3 linked regions of the Macaca mulatta genome follow. The main gene of each other region encodes a partner of the protein of the gene in region 3 in a complex. Links are inferred from orthologs where the notes say so. Each region holds a gene or a part of one and is shown on either strand. Other genes may lie near its edges.

Region 1 (6,032 bases), on a different chromosome or scaffold from region 3:
AGCCAAATTTCACAGGTGGGAAAGAATCCCTTTTAGAACCTGGCTCTCCAAAGAACCTTCTGCAAGGCAGTTTTACACAACAGAAGCAAGTCACAGAAGGGCACAGACACTCTGTCTACCCTGCCCAGTGGGCCTCAGACACCATAACCTCGTCTGGCTATTGGAGTTGCGGGATGAGCAGGATACTGTGGTGTTTTGAAAGCCACCTCAGCCACCTGCATGCTCTCCGAAGCCTATTCCCCACCTATCCCAGGCTGATCAGATGCAAGCTCATGTGGTCCAGTTCAAATGAAGCTCAGCTCTCTCAGCAGCACTGCTGAAGGCCAAGCACAAGGTCACAGCCTCCCCACATGCTTCATTAATAAATAACAAATGGCCAGTGATTGGGGATGTATAATGTGTTAAGAAAGTGCTGAGTGCCTTACAAGCGTTTTCTTATTTCATTCTAACAGCCCTGGGGTATGTGTGCTGATAGATACTCCGATGGATAACAAAACAGGTGCAAACAGTCAGGTCCCCTTCCCCAGGTCAGAAGATGCCTAATAGTGTCTGTGCTGGTCTCTTGGACCTCTGGTTGCCGGACATTGCCTGGGCCCAGCCACCACGCTGTGACAAGCCCCAGGAGGTGCTTTGGGTCACAGGTCTGGCTGAAGTCAGCCTGCAAGTTGTCCCAAACCAGGCCCCAGACTTGGGAGTGAGAAACAGGCAGATGACTCCAACCTCAGACATTGAGGAGCAGAAGCAAGTGTTAAATAAAATGTATAGGAGGCCACTGGTCTGGACTGAGCCGCATCAGGCCCAATAGATCACACAAAAATGGAGTCACTCTTGCTAAAGTGCCGTGTCACCAAATGGAAACTAAGTTGTTTATCTAGCCTTCTAAGAAACAAGGAGAGTGAGAGATAGCTCGATCTCCAAACAAGCTGGCATAGTAAGGGAGCTCCTTCCACTTTCACCTTTACAGCAAAAGTAGCTTTGAAATAACCAGTCCACTTTTTGTTCTCCGTGTCCGCATTCTTCAGACCCTTCTGTCTATAAAACCATCCTCCTCTGCTCAACTCATCAAACATTCATTCTGTTTTATGGAATTAGGTGTTTCCCAATTCTATAATCACGAAAAAAGTGAATTAAGATCTTTAAACTAAATTTGTCGGAATTTTGCCCTTTGACACAAGTCATCCCCATCTGGCCCTGTCCAAAGTTCTGACCCACAGACTCTGCGAGGAATATAAAATTGTTGTTATCTTGTACCACTAAGCTTAGGGGTGGTTTGATGTGCATCGATAGTAACTAGGACATAATTCAGTTACATACTGCCCTTGTTTTACAGATGAGGAAACATGCAAAGTGCAGTACAGGGAAAGCAAGAAATCAACCCGAGTCCTGATTCTAAAGACACCTGGAGCCACAAAACGGTGTTGCACCATCCACAGCCCATTGTTTGTTTGCTCTTTGTTTAACAGGGCCATGGCCGGGCACTAATCCCAATTCTGTTTCAGAAGTGCCTTCATCTGCCCTGTTTTGAGGCGTACAGACCAGTGGTTCTCAAGCCCGAGTGTCCTCTAGAGCACCTGAAGGGCTCGTTATAAACACAGGTGTCAGGTCCCACCCAGGGTTTCTGATTCCAGATATCCAGGATGGGCTTCAGAATTTCTGTTTCTCAAAAGTTCTCAGGTAATGCTGATGCTGCTGGTCTGAGGACCATGCGTTGAGAACCACTGGTATTCTTGAAGGAGTGAGATGAAGTTTTCTTCAAGAGTGATATTCCTTTGGAACAAGCCATCTGACTTTATCACACACAGCTGACAGATCAGGCCAAAGTGTTCTCACCTATCCCATGACTTTCTAGGGGCTCCCAGAGGAGTCATGGCCTGGCCTGGCCCTTTTTCATACTGTCCCCACTATGGTTTGCAGACACCGACAAAGGAAAGAGATATTGCTGACCCATGAACAGGTGGGCACGCACATCCCGGGGAGAAAGTTGCTGAAAAGCTGTTTTTCAAGTTAGTTTTCTGAAGCTCAATTTCTGGCTAAGGTAGCCGTAAAGGCCATATTATCAGGAGAAATAAGTGAAGGAAAAGGAGACAGAAGAATGCTTGCTGACCACACCCTGATCCTGACCCAGCGAGGTTCAGAAGGTCCTTGCTGTTGGCCCCAGGAGGTCCGCCCCGCTGTCTTATCTGAGTGGGGCTGCAACTGTGCACAGGCCAACTGTGAATGTTCCCCATGACCTTGGCCTCACAAGTCCAGAGCAGGTCACTTTCCATTTCTGTCCTTGGGCAAGCTGCTCTAGTCCCCTTCAAGGGCACATTGCACCAACTCTGCAAACCAAAGGGTTTGGTTTTTTTCCCAGTAGTTAGAGGGCACTTGCTGCTGACTCAAGGTTAAAGAAAACACTTATCTAGTTAAGTGACTCATTTTAATTAAACCAGCAAAGTAATATACAATATCGGGGGGAGGTCCAAAGTTCCTTTCAATTTCTTTGAAAACTAACTACAAGACACTACCAAGACACTACCTACTATGGCTATATCTGCAGTTAAACTAAAATCGCTACTGCCTGTGGGTCACCAGTAAGAGCTGGGTCTGCTGCATACCTTGCAGCACTCAGCCTAACCTCTGAGCATAACTGCCCCCCTCCTCACAATGTGGACACTGAGGGCTAGGGGGGCAGAACAACAGGGATAACTGAGGGAGGAGCTGGAGAAAATGGGGCCCTGGTGACCCTGCCATAAAGACCCTCAAGTCCTTTCTCAAACACTCCCAAATCCAGCAAGCTGGTTATGGCCACTCTTCTGGCCTGCATCCCTCTGATCAACACCGTGTCTGCCAGGCCCTCCCTGCAGGCCCCACACCCAGGCCCACCCTGCATCCAGGGCCCACCCTGCACTTGGCACCCACCCTGCGTGGCCAGCCCTGCCTGCAGTTCAGGGCTTCCCCCTCGCTGCCCAGTCAGCGCCTTAGGTGGGGGCGAGGGTGCAGTGTACGACCCCCAGCCCCAAATCTTAGCAGAGCAGCAGAGGCCTCTGCTCAGCAAGTTTCAGACCACTGACCACCGGGAACCTCAGACCCCGCGGGTCCAAAGCAGGCCTTGGGTCGCTGGGGTGCAGTTCTCTGAGGCCGAGAACGAGAACCCGGAGGCCGCTGTTACTTCCTTCCCGCCCACAGGCCCCAGGCCCGCAGCGAGGAAATAACTGGTTCCAGCTGCCACGCCGGGTTTCCTCCTCCCCAGGTCGCCCGCCACAGCTCTGTTTGTTTATGTGGGCAGGGCTTGTCCTCAGGCTGATCCCCGGGCACCGCAGCCCCCAGTGACAACCGCCACCGCTTTGTTTTTCCGTCCACCCCGGTATAGCAACGGGAAAGTCCCGACTCCAGGGCGCTCGGGTGTAGCCCGCGGCTCCCCGCCGGCTCTGGCTCCGCGGCGCTATGCACTCGGTAACGCAACTCTGGAGTCAGCAGAGCGAGGAGCCGCGCCGAGCAAGGCCAGCAGCGGGGCGTCCCAAGCGGCCACCGGGTCCCCGCGGGCACCGGCCCGAGCTGGGCACGTGGATCTGGGGCCGGATGGGATGAGGGACGGGGTGACGTGGAGCCACTGCTTAGAGCTGGCGGGACGGACGGAATACCGGAGGAGGGGCCCCTGCAGGGGTGCGATCCGCGCAGCCGGGGGACGGCTGCCGCAGGCGAGAGGCTCCGAGTTCCCTCTGGACGCAAGAGTTGGGGGCGACCTGGGTCTCCCGAAGCTCACTCACCAGAGACGTTTAACTGGCCTCCCAGGAACCAGCCGATCTTGCCAGTGCTGAAGTCGCAGTCCCAGACGGTGTGGTAGGGGGTGTCCCACAGTAGAGTGTCCCGCGCCAGAGGCCCCCAGAAGGCGGCCGGCTCCCGGGCTGCCTGTGCACTCAGCGCGGGGTACGAGCCGGGCTGTGAGGCTGCGGCAACTGCGGGGGCGCTGCCCGAGGGTCCCGAGGCCGCCCTGCGCGGCGCGCTCACCCGACACAGCGGCCGCGCGGGCTGCCCCGAGAGCCCTCGCAGGCTGCCCAGCAGCCTCCCGACGCCGCGGCCCAGGCTGCGCGCCGCCATCTAGCCGGACTACCTGAGTTCTCTGTGCTTCCAGAGTGGGTGCCTCACGCCCGGGGCGCCCCTTGGAGTCTCCGCGGGCCCCGCCCCTGCTCCGCCCTTCGGCCACCATCCATTCCTCCAGGGCCCCTTCCCAGAGCCCGCCCGGGTCCCACCCCTTCTGCTGCCCGGGAGAGGGGGGGACGCTTAGGAAGAGGGGAGCAGCGTGGGGAAGGGGTGCAGAGGAGCGCGGGGCGGAGCCCAGGCTCCCAGGCCCTGGCCCAGGCGCTGTGCTCCCGCGGGTCTGCAGTCCCCCCCCGACGTTCCTCGCGTCGGCCTGTTTTGGTTTCAGTTTGCGCGCTCTCCTGCAAGCCCCGACAGCTTCTTCGAGCTGCCAGAGGCACGTGCGGCCCAGGACTAGGGGGCCCTCTGGGATGGGAAGGAGGCGGGAGGGAGCCGGTACCAACGTTAAGAGGGCTGGTGCACCCAAGCGCACTGTTGGGTCCCAAGACGATAGGTCGGTCAGTTCCGCATCTCAGAGGCTGAAGTAAGGTTTTCATGCCTTTGTGCGCCCTTGAGAGTGAACCCCTCCCCTGGCTTCTCAGCGGAATGCGAAGGAGGTTGGCGGGGAGCCCAGAAGCCGGGAGGCTGCGCAGGCCTGAGTCCGTGGTCTGGGGTCCCATGCTCCAGCCCCCCAGCTGCTGGCCTCCGTCCTGGCGGGGGTCACGTTCTGCTGGGGGTCGGTGGTGGGTGATATGGGGCGATGAGGACTTTATCCAGTTGCTCCAGCATCTGTGGCCTGAGTTCAAATTCTGTGACCTTGAGCAAGTTCCGTAACTTGTCGGTGCCTCGTTTTCCTTTTGGGGGAAACGGAAGTAATGCCTCCCTGGGGGACAGGGACGGCGGGGGTGGAGAGCTGCAGTAAGGAATACATCAGACAATGTCTGTCAAGCGTCTACCCTTGCGTGGCCCCATAGTAAGCTCAGTAGTGGGGGTGATGTTTTTGCAGCTGTGGAGCCAGGAAGGACAGAAGGAAACGTATAAAACTGGTCTCCACCGAGTTCTTAAATATTTCGACACCCAAGAAGTAAATTCATAACAAAGGGGTAAACATAGGGGAAGAGAGGTTTTGGAAAACTGGTTTCTTGAGTTCTTTCTGATGTTAAAGTTTCTTTCCCTTGAGCTGTAGGGCTTGCAGAGGGGAGGAGCCTGCCATTAGAGGAGCCTCTGCGTGGGCCAGCCACCAGCCCCTGCTGGGGAATGCTGCTGTCTGCCAGAGAAGACAGGAATGTACCTAAGGGCTGGAGAATCAGTGACATCTACTAGCATAACACATGCCCTGCACAATGCTCGCACTTGACCTGCATTTTCTCCTTTGTTTATTTATTTATGATACTTTTTTAGAGATAGGGTCTGTAGCCCAGGCTGGAGTGCAGTGGTTCCCATCATAGCTTACTACAGCCTGGAACTCCTGAGCTCAAGCGATCCTCCTGACTCAGCCTCCTGAGTATATGGAACTACAAGCGTGTGCCACGACACCCGGCTAGTCTACTTAATTTAAAACTTATCTAGTGCTGTCCACCCCCCACCGACTGTCAAACTCCAGGTGGAACAAATGAGGAAACTGAACCCAAACAAATAAAAGGGCTTACTAAAGAGCATTCGACTGGCTAAGGGAAGAGCAAGACTAATACCCAGTGCCCCCAGTGGGGAGCTCTTTGGCCTAAGTTCCCATTTGAATAGAATATTAAAGACACCCAGTATAGGGCACTGAGAGGCAGACGTCAGTGAGTAGTAAAATTGTAAATTGAGAAAGCTCTTAACTGTAGCAGGTGGTCACATAGATGGCTACCAACTCTTCCTTCCCATACCTGCATGTGATGGCGCGCTGCTCTGTCCAGAGGAGGACCCTGGCTGGCTGTATTGCTTTGGCCAGTACAACCTGGTGGGAGGGATGCTCTGACAGTTCCACCTGG
Region 2 (4,573 bases), on a different chromosome or scaffold from region 3:
TTTTCGTGTGGTTCCTATCGTTTTCTACATCAGTTCTCTGAATTGAGCAAAATCTTTGGGCTGTCAAACCTGAAATCCCCTTTACTTCCTTGGAAACCCTGTAGCATTAGTCCAGACATGTCCCTACTCCTCCTTGTGGCAAAAGAGAAGAATCTCATCTTTGGTCCCCAGAGTTCTGGCCTAAGCCTCCCTCTAGGAGGGAAGATGAGTGTTCAGACACTCAGGGTACCTGGGGGAGACACAGGCCTGTGAAATTATCCTAGCTCAACTATTAGGCGGGCAGAATCCCAGTGAAAGGAGCCGTACCCGAGGCCCATCTAAGCTTTGGCTAGGGGTGGGGCAGATAAGCAGGAATCCATCCCTGTAGGCTCAATGCCAACACCCTTTGGTGAAACTCCTGATGAAACTTGAGGCCAGGGCCCCAGCAAGCAGGGAAAGAAGGTTGGCAACAGAGGTCTCCATCTGAGGACTCTGCCAGGGGTCAGAGGTGGGGTAATGGTCAAAAGGAAGGAAGTGGCTCATGCCCATAATCCCAGCAGTTTGGGAGGCTGAGGCAGGAGAATTGCTTGAGCCCAGGAGTTTGAGACCTGCCTGGGCAATGTAGTGAGATCCTGTCTCTATTTAAAAAAAAAAAAAAAAAAAAAAGGAAGGAACAGGGAAACTTCTGAGAGACAGGCTGGGGGAGGCATCACGTAGCTGGGATTGCTGCCCCATAAAACAGAATGGTATGTGTCACTGCCACCTCCCTTTCTCAGTCCTCTCTCTCCCCAGGTTGCTAGCGTCCCCCCTGGGGGATCAAACTGGACTGCTTCCCAGCCTCAGACAGAGAGCAGTCTGAGTCAGGCAGGAAAGTGGGACAGCCGGGGAGCTGGACCCCACCCTCTGTGAACCCCACTGGTACCTGATGGCATGTGGCTTGGAGAGGGCAAGTGACCTGGTGTGGAGGGCCAGAGGGTAAATCCTCAAACAAGTGGCAACAGGCCACCAACTTGAAAGGGAAAATTGTGTAGTGATGGGAAATGTGTACAACAAACCTACTGGGTGACTAATTACAAAGGCTGGGCTGGAGCGTCAGAGGCTGCTTGTTAAACACTTCATTAAGTGGCACTCTGAAAGCTGCCACCTGCGCATTCTGGGAGCTCAGAGGGGACCCTGAGGGGGAGTGAGGCCTGAGGGATGGAACCATCTTCAGGTAGATTGAGAAAGAGCCTGGATCTCACTTCCAAACACAGCCTGGAGCTCATAGGTCAGAGACTTCAACGGGAGAAAAGCTAAAGGAAGCAGGGTGCAGAAAGGAGTTTCAGGGAAGTGGTGGCTATGTGACTTTGAGCAAATCTCACCCCTCTCTGAGACTTAGTGTTCCCATCTCTGTGGTCCTGTGTGTGTCACAGAGACACAGTGGGGATTAAATTCGATGGTGAATATGAAAGTGCTTGGGAAACTCTATGGCCCTACCTAAACATGAGTTATCCTCACCTGAATCAAGGGGAGAAGTTACCTGGCAGGATTGGGAACCCCATCCTCCTGAACCTTTATGGGCTCTGTCGAGGCAGAAGCAGCCAGGGGCTAAAGCCGCCCTTAGCCTCTGTAAGGGCGCTGTGAAGGAGGATCTGATTTGAGAAGCCAGGCAGTTTCCTGATGTGAGCAGCCATATGATGCCAGCCCCGAACAAGAGGGGGCAGCCTAGAGCCTGGAAAGGTGCCTGTGCAGGTGGGGCCCACGCCCAGATTTCTTCTGCTGACTGTTCTGATGACTCACCCCCACATCCCAGCCTTTTTACCTTTACTGCAGAGCCGGAAAGGGTGTGGGGAGGAGAGGAGACGGAGGCAGGTCTTGGGCCCTGGTCCCGCCCCCTGCTCCTCCCCACCCTTCTCTGGGCCTGGCCACCCAGCCAAAAGGCAGGCCAAGAGCAGGAGAGGCACAGAGTCCGGCATTGGTCCCAGGCAGCAGTTAGCCCGCCGCCCGCCTGTGTGTCCCCAGAGCCATGGAGAGAGCCAGTCTGATCCAGAAGGCCAAGCTGGCAGAGCAGGCCGAACGTTATGAGGACATGGCAGCCTTCATGAAGGGCGCCGTGGAGAAAGGTGAGGAGCTCTCCTGCGAAGAGCGAAACCTGCTCTCAGTAGCCTACAAGAATGTGGTGGGCGGCCAGAGGGCTGCCTGGAGGGTCCTGTCCAGTATTGAGCAGAAAAGCAACGAGGAGGGCTCGGAGGAGAAGGGCCCCGAGGTGCGTGAGTACCGGGAGAAGGTGGAGACTGAGCTCCGGGGCGTGTGCGACACCGTGCTGGGCCTGCTGGACAGCCATCTCATCAAGGAGGCTGGGGACGCGGAGAGCAGGGTCTTCTACCTGAAGATGAAGGGCGACTACTACCGCTACTTGGCCGAGGTGGCCACTGGTGACGACAAGAAGCGCATCATCGACTCAGCCCGGTCAGCCTACCAGGAGGCCATGGACATCAGCAAGAAGGAGATGCCGCCCACCAATCCCATCCGCCTGGGCCTGGCCCTGAACTTTTCCGTCTTCCACTACGAGATCGCCAACAGCCCCGAGGAGGCCATCTCGCTGGCCAAGACCACTTTCGATGAGGCCATGGCTGATCTGCACACCCTCAGCGAGGACTCCTACAAAGACAGCACCCTCATCATGCAGCTGCTGCGAGACAACCTGACGCTGTGGACGGCCGACAACGCCGGGGAAGAGGGGGGCGAGGCTCCCCAGGAGCCCCAGAGCTGAGTGTTGCCCACCACCGCCCCACCCTGCCCTGCCCCCTTCAGTCCCCCACCCTGCCGAGAGGACTAATATGGGGTGGGAGGCCCCACCCTTCTCCCCCAGGCGCTGTTCTTACTCCAAACGGCTCCGTGGAGAGGGACTGGCAGAGCTGAGGCCACCTGGGGCTGGGGATCCCACTCTTCTTGCAGCTGTTGAGCGCACCTAACCACTGGTCATGACCCCAGCACTGCTCTCCGCACCGCTTCCTCCCGACCCCAGGACCAGGCTACTTCTCCCCTCCCTCTTGCCTCACTCCTGCCCCTGCTGCCTCTGGTCGTAGGAATTGAGGAATGTCCCGCCTTGTGGCTGAGAACTGGACAGTGGCAGGGGCTGGAGATGGGTGTGTGTGTGTGCGCGCGCGCGCGCCAGTGCAAGACCGACATTGAAGGAAAGCATGTCTGCTGGGTGTGACCATGTTTCCTCTCAATAAAGTTCCCCTGTGACACTCCTCCTGTCTCTCTCCAGTTCTTGGCGATGGGTTGGGAGTGGAACTGGAATCTGATTTAGAGATCCTGACTTTCGACCTCTGAGTTAGGGCCCTGACCTCCCTGCGTGGCTCAGTGACCTGCACGCAAGACTTTGAGTCCAGGTGAGGCCGGGGTCCGGCTGTCTCCATCAGGGCGGCCCCATCAAACTGGATGGGACCGGGAGGGTCAGGTGAACCCACAGGAGGCGCCGAGCCTCCTCTGCAGGGCCGAGGGGAGGTGAGTGGGAGCCGCAGCGCGGGAGGCTGACGAGCTCAGGTGGAGCGGGACAGGAAATAGTGAAGTCTCCGGCATGAGATCTAAGGACAGCGCTGCAGTAGTGAGCGGCACTGAGCACCCGATTTACAGGCGGGTCACAGTCTCATCAAGGGCTCAGATCTCAGCGGAGGGAAGTACGATTTGAGGCAGGGGTACAGTGCCGCCATAAAAGCCCAGATCTTAGGAGAGGGTCACGTCCCAAAGAGTTCGGAAATGGAGACAAAAGGAAACGGGCTGGTGGGGAGGAAGGACGAGCTGGGTGGGAATGGCCGCTGGGAGCGTTGCCTACCGAGCCCGCCGCCTCCGCTCTCTGCAGCCAGCAACACGCCGGAACCTGCGGCCGCATTGCTGGGTCTCGCCTTCACAGCCAGGACTGGAGGCGGGGCCCGAGGCTCTGCCACCCAATCACAGGAGGGAGCTGCCCCAGGGTACCACCCCGGGGGGCCCGACGAGCCAATGGGAAACTGAGCGGCGGACCGCGCGCGGCGAGTTTCCCGCCGCCCGCCAGGCCTGGCGGACGCCACAACTAGCTGACTGACTGAGCGGCGCCCCCGCCGCCTGCTGAGCGCCGAGGGGCGGCGCTTTCCCGGTTTCACTCAGACAAGTTGTCACCCGTCTGGCCCGAGAGCTGGGAACCCTCTAGAGCAGCGGGACGAGGCAGGATAGCAAAATGCAGTGCCCGCCCGTTGAGTCATCAGCTCACCCGGCTGGGCCTGGGCCGGGCTGGCGGCGGGGTCGGCTGGAAAAAGGCCGCCAAGATGCCCCCACCACACTCCGGAGTCCAGGCAGCCCTGGACCTGTCGCCGAGACTTGGATTGTGTCCCTGGCTGGCTGGCTGTGCGACCTTGGAAAAGCCGTTATACATCCCTGGGCCTCAGTTTCCCTCTTGTATCATAAGGGACTTGGACTAAAGGCTAACACAAGAGTGAACATTTGCGGTTTTGGCCTGGCGCAGTGGTTCACGCCTGTAATCCCAGCACTTTGGGAGGCGGAGGTGGGCGGATCACGAGGTCAGGAGATCGAGACCATCCAGGCTAAAACAGTGAAACCCCGTCTCTACTAA
Region 3 (5,355 bases):
CCTTGGTAAACTCTTAGCTCCAACTCCACCTGCCTGGCTTGACACTGCAGCTGGTTCCCAACCCTCCTAGCCCTTCTTTCCTACTTGTTATCTTTCCCAGAACATCAATCATCTCCTCACAAACTACATAACTTCTTACACTGACATCTGACTGTGGATGTTGAAAGCACTGGAGCAGGGCCCAGCACACAATGAAGGCCCGAACAAACATACGCTCTGGGCCCTGCGGCTGCCCTGGGCCCCTCGAAGCACAGGTCTTTCTGGCCCTTCTGCCCTTGGTGCCTATATCCAGTCACACACACACTGCGTGACTCATCACAGCTTTTAGGAATTTCCTGAGCTTCAGACGCAGATGCAGAACAGCTGCTTGGCCACATCCAGGGGGCGTTTCCCAGGCACCTGAGACATGCACAGAACCGAGCTGGGCATCCTCCCTCCCAAATCACGCCTCACCAGCAAATGCCCTGACTTTACAGAACAAGCCAGACGCCTCCTTCTCACACCCCCAAAACAACACAGGCTGCAAGTCCAGTCCCCCTCCTCGCTGTCCCTCAGGTGACCACAGCTCCACCTTCTTCAGGACCAGCCTCCTGGCACTGCTTGCTCCACTCTCCACTCCCCAAAGGCCTCTCTGACCCCAAGGGTGCAGCTACGTCCCTGGGCCAGTCCCTTTGGATTTATCACTACTCCCAACGCAGCATCAGTATTCCTAATCTGACCTGGGAGGCCTGCCCCTCCACCTCATCCCGACGCCCCCTTTCCTCCTCCCTTCTCCTCACACGTGGTGCCCCACCCGCACCTATACCACCTCCAAAGCCCAGCAGCTTCCTACCTTCCTGTCTCCCGCACAGGCTGCTGTTCCCTCAGCCTGGAACCCCAGCTGAATCCACTCACTTTCCAAAAGTGGCACCAGCCCCAGAAGGGCCCATGAGATGATTTCTGTACCCCTCCCTTCCCCTGCCCTCCAGCCTCCTCCCTGCACAGGCTGACAAACCTCCAGGGAGGTCCCGAGGATGAGCAGCAGATCTGCCATGGGGAAATCAACCACGTGCAGCAGGAACCTCTGGGGCAGCGGCTCCCCAAAGAACACAATGTCGGGCTTCACAACGCCGGTGCAGACCGGGCAGCGGGGAACCCTGTCTGCCATCACGTCAGCCTGGAAAACAGAGAAAACAGGCCTGAGGAAGATACCTGCAACACCCTGTAAAAGGAAAAGGCAACAAGTTCTTATTAAAGTGTCAAACATTCTCCCCCAAAAAAGGTGGGAGAGGTATCATGAACCCCCATGTACCCAGCTTTAGGAATTACCAGTTTTCACAGCTGATTGTGTCATAGCCCTCCAGAATCTGGGAGGAGGTGTTGGAGCATTTAAAAGCAAATCTTGGACATCATACGTTTCACCCATTATTACTTCGGCAGGCATCTAGCGTATCTAACACCGTGCTCTACACCTGGGATGGTGACCAGAGACATTCTGGTGCTAAGAAAACACCTGGTAGACCACACCGGTCCTCCAACAGTAGTCTGCAGGCATTTGGCCTACACCGAACATCATTCGGTCACAAGGTGAAACTGTCTCTGGTTTGAGCTTCAGTGATCATGCCATTGCCTCAGCCCGGGGAGGCTTTCAGGTCGGCTTCACTCACTGGCTGGCATTATTAGGAGTAACATCTGCCAAACACTGCTTCCCTACTGGCCAAGGTGAAGTAGACACAACTTCACTGAGTCAAGACTAATATAAACTAATGCCTTGGAGCAGATGGAAAAGGGAGAGAGTTACAGAGGAAGACACCTGACTTTCTAAGGGAAACCTTTACCGCTAACGGGGCTTGTTTTAAGCAGGCTCAATCCAGCAAGAAGCAACAGAAACAAAAGACAAAAGAAAGAGACCCACAAAAGATTTCAGATAATCTTGGATACACAGTAAAACTGTATTATATCTAAATTAAAAAGAAAAAACTGTTATCTTGGAGGCATGGGGTATAGTAAAAAAAAAAAAAAATTAAGGAAGCAAAAAAAAGACGAACTTGAAAAATCTATTAAAGGCCGGGCGCAGTGGCTCAGGCCTGTAATCCCAGCACTTTGGGAGGCCGAGGTGGGCGGATTATGAGGTCAGGAGATCAGACTGTCTTGGCCAACATGGTGAAACCCTGTCTCTACTAAAACACAAACAATTAGCCAGGCGTGGTGGTGCGCACCTGTAATCCCAGCTACTTGGGAGGCTGTGGCAGGGGAATTGCTTGAACCAGGGAGGCAGAGGTTGCAGTGAGCTGAGATTGCGCCACTGCACTGCAGCCTGGGCAACAGAGTGAGACTCCATCTCAAAAAAAAAAAAAAAACTATCAAAGATACAAAACTATTAAAAAATAATGTAGCAGACGTGAAAAATAACCAAACAGAACTTCTAGAAATAAAAAGTACAGAAATAAAAAATTAAAGCTCAACGTCTGTTTCGAGTTGGTTTTGGGAAAAAAGAAAGCAGCAAACACTCAATGGAAGGACTTTATAACAGAAAACACAATATTAGCAAACCGGAAGAAAGACCAGAAGAAATCACCCAGAACGCAGCACAAGGAGGAGCAATGAAAGAACAGAAGAGTGATCAGGAACAGCAGGAGAGAGAAGGACTAACGTAGGTTCAATCAGAGGTCCCTAAAGAGAGGGGCCAGATAGTGGGCCAGGGGCAATGCATATCCCAAGATAACAGCCGAGTATTATCCAGCAACCATGAAAGACACCAACCCACAGATTCAGGATCTCAAGCAAGCGAGGGCTACTGAGCCAGCATGAGGGTGCCCACAGGAAAAACATGAGTCACAAGCACATCTGTGGTTTTGTCCCAAGAGGTTCTCAGGAGGTTTAGTAATTATACGTGGTCCTTCAAAGGGGGAGGGTGGCTGTGAGGTGAATGGTTAAGTACTTGTGAGACTTCAGGAAGTGACAGAAGGAAACAGAGGAAGAGAACTAAGCAGACCTCTCAGGGAAGGGTGAAGGAACCATTCATCTCATCTTGCCTTTGATCTGTATCTGGGAAGATAAGCCAGTAATCCACATTAGCAGTATGGAGTCTTTGAAAAGTGTTGGTTTCTGTTTAGCCCTTAGTGAAGAAAGCCTAATGGTGGTTGGGGAGGGAGGGGTATAATGAGGCGCATCTGACCTCCCCTCCTGCTATGGCCAGGAACTGACTTCCAAGGTTTCTCTGGGGTTCCCTTGACCAAGGGGAGGGGTCCATTCAGTTGGTTGCAGGGCTTAGAATTTTATTTTGTATTTTATTTTTTTGAGATGGCATCTTACTCTGTCACCCAGGCTGGAGTGCAGTAGCATAATCTCGGCTCACTGCAACCTCTGCCTCCTGGGTTCCAGCAATTCTCTTGCCTCAGCTTCCCAAGTAGCTGGGATTACAGATGGGTGCCACCACACGTGACTCATTTTTGTATTTTTAGTAGAGACGGGGTTTCACCATGTTGGCCAGGCTGGTCTCAAACTCCTAATTCAGGTGATCCATCCGCCTCAGCTTCCCAAAGTGCTGGGATTACAGGCATGAGCCACCGCGCCTGGCCTAGAATTGTATTTTATTTTTCTCAAGGAAGGTCTACAATTTTTTTTTTTTTTTTTTTTGAGATGGAGTCTCTCTCCTGTTTCCCAGGCTGGAGTGCAATGGCCTAATATTGGCTCACCACAACCTCCACCTCCTGGGTTCAAGCAATTCTCCTGCCTCAGCCTCCCGAGTAGCTGAGATTATAGGCATGCACCATCATGCCCGGCTAATTTTGTATTTTTAGTAGAGATGGGGTTTCTCCATGTTGGTCAGGCTGGTCTCGAACTCCTGACCTCAGGCGATCCACCCACCTGGTCTCCCAAAGTGTTGGGATTACAGGCGTGAGCCTCTGCGCCCACCTGGCCCACAAATTTTACGCAGAAGAAATCAAAGGAAATTCATATGGAAAACCAGCATGGAGAAACTGCAAAACTCCAAAGACAAAAGTCTTAAAAAACAGGCAGAGAGGCTGGACACGGTGGCTCATGCCTGTAATCCCAGCACTTTGGGAGGTTGAGGTGGGCGGATCACGAGATCAGGAGTTCGAGACCAGCCTGACCCCATAGTAGAGATGAAACCCCATCTCTACTAAAAATACAAAAATTAGCTGGGCGTGGCAGCACGCGCCTGTAATTCCAGCTACTCAGGAGGCTGAGGCAAGAGAATCGCTAGAACCTGGGAGGCGGAGGTTGCAGTGAGCCGAGATCATACCGTTGCACTCCAGCCTGGGCGACAGAGCAAGACTCTGTCTCAAAAAAAAAAAAAAAAAAAAAAAAAAAAAACCCAAACAACAACAACAAAAATAAAACAGGCAGAGAACAGATAGCAACAGTTTCGGAAATTTACATGAAAAGGCAAAAGATTCAGAACAGCCAACACAGTACTGAAGGAGGAGAACAAAGGCGGGGAATTAACAACAACTTGTGGCCGGGCGCGGTGGCTCAAGCCTGTAATCCCAGCACTTTGGGAGGCCGAGACGGGCGGATCACGAGGTCGGGAGATCGAGACCATCCTGGCTAACACGGTGAAACCCCGTCTCTACTAAAAAAATACAAAAAACTAGCCGGGCGCGGTGGCGGGCGCCTGTAGTCCCAGCTACTCGGGAGGCTGAGGCAGGAGAATGGCGTGAACCTGGGAGGCGGAGCTTGCAGTGAGCTGAGATCTGGCCACTGCACTCCAGCGTGGGCGGCAGAGCGAGACTCCGTCTCAAAAAAAAAAAAAAAAAAACAACTTGTTGCCCAAATTATCTATTTTATTCTCTTATTTATTTATTTATTTTGTTTTGAGATGGAGTCTCACTCTGTTACCCAGGCTGGAGTGCAGTGGTGCGATCTCAGCTCACAGAAATCTCCCCCTCCCGGGTTCAAGCGATTCTCCTGCCTCAGCCTCCTGAGTATCTGGGATTACAGGTGCACCACTACACCCAGCTGATTTTTGTATTTTTAGTAGAGATGGGATTTCACCATTTTGGCCAGGCTGCTCTCAAACTCCCCACCTCAGGTGACCTGCCTGTCTAGGCCTCCCAAAGTGCTGGCATTACAGGTGTGAGCCACTGTGCCCAGCCCCTCATAATCTCTTTTAAATGCAAATCCCTTCACATCATTTTCCTGCCTAAATATCCTTCAATGCCTCCCATGATCGTCAGGATACAGTTCAAATCCTAACAGGGCAAGCAGGCCTCCCATACTCCAGGTCTCTGCTGCCAGAAACAGACTTACACCCAGACAGCCTCATCTCCAAGGTGCTTCCCAGCCTGCTCTGTTCCTACAGCTGACTCAGCATAGCATCCAGTACATATCTGCAGTAAAACTGGTATG

What was found. The genes of interacting proteins can lie anywhere in the genome.
Region 1: the proteins of SIRT3 (region 3) and ACSS1 are in contact, whole or in part, in a crystal structure (PDB 3GLT), measured with the Homo sapiens proteins. The link is inferred for Macaca mulatta from reciprocal best matches to the Homo sapiens genes SIRT3 and ACSS1. Residues at the interface, in NP_036371.1 of Homo sapiens: Gly145, Ala146, Gly147, Thr150, Pro151, Asp156, Phe157, Arg158, Ser159, Glu177, Phe180, Gln228, Asn229, Ile230, His248, Ile291, Val292, Phe293, Phe294, Gly295, Glu296, Pro297, Leu298, Gly319, Thr320, Ser321, Leu322, Glu323, Val324, Glu325; in NP_115890.2 of Homo sapiens: Ser640, Gly641, Lys642, Val643, Met644, Arg645.
Region 2: the proteins of SIRT3 (region 3) and SFN are in contact, whole or in part, in a crystal structure (PDB 8ANC), measured with the Homo sapiens proteins. The link is inferred for Macaca mulatta from reciprocal best matches to the Homo sapiens genes SIRT3 and SFN. Residues at the interface, in NP_036371.1 of Homo sapiens: Arg99, Arg100, Ser101, Ile102, Ser103, Phe104, Ser105, Val106, Gly107; in NP_006133.1 of Homo sapiens: Asn42, Ser45, Val46, Lys49, Arg56, Lys122, Asp126, Arg129, Tyr130, Pro167, Gly171, Leu174, Asn175, Val178, Tyr181, Glu182, Leu218, Ile219, Leu222, Asn226, Leu229, Trp230.

The regions. Positions count from the first base shown.
Region 1 is NC_133415.1:59,088,872-59,094,903, reverse strand, and holds the start of ACSS1 (acetyl-coenzyme A synthetase 2-like, mitochondrial), read right to left. Parts: upstream 4,118-6,032; 5' UTR 4,081-4,117; coding exon 3,750-4,080; intron 1-3,749. UniProt on the Homo sapiens protein: Catalyzes the synthesis of acetyl-CoA from short-chain fatty acids. Acetate is the preferred substrate. Can also utilize propionate with a much lower affinity. Provides acetyl-CoA that is utilized mainly for oxidation under ketogenic conditions.
Region 2 is NC_133406.1:214,120,974-214,125,546, reverse strand, and holds SFN (14-3-3 protein sigma), read left to right. Parts: upstream 1-1,919; 5' UTR 1,920-1,984; coding exon 1,985-2,731; 3' UTR 2,732-2,756; downstream 2,757-4,573. UniProt on the Homo sapiens protein: Adapter protein implicated in the regulation of a large spectrum of both general and specialized signaling pathways. Binds to a large number of partners, usually by recognition of a phosphoserine or phosphothreonine motif.
Region 3 is NC_133419.1:100,075-105,429, forward strand, and holds part of SIRT3 (NAD-dependent protein deacetylase sirtuin-3, mitochondrial), read right to left. Parts: intron 1,157-5,355; coding exon 995-1,156; intron 1-994.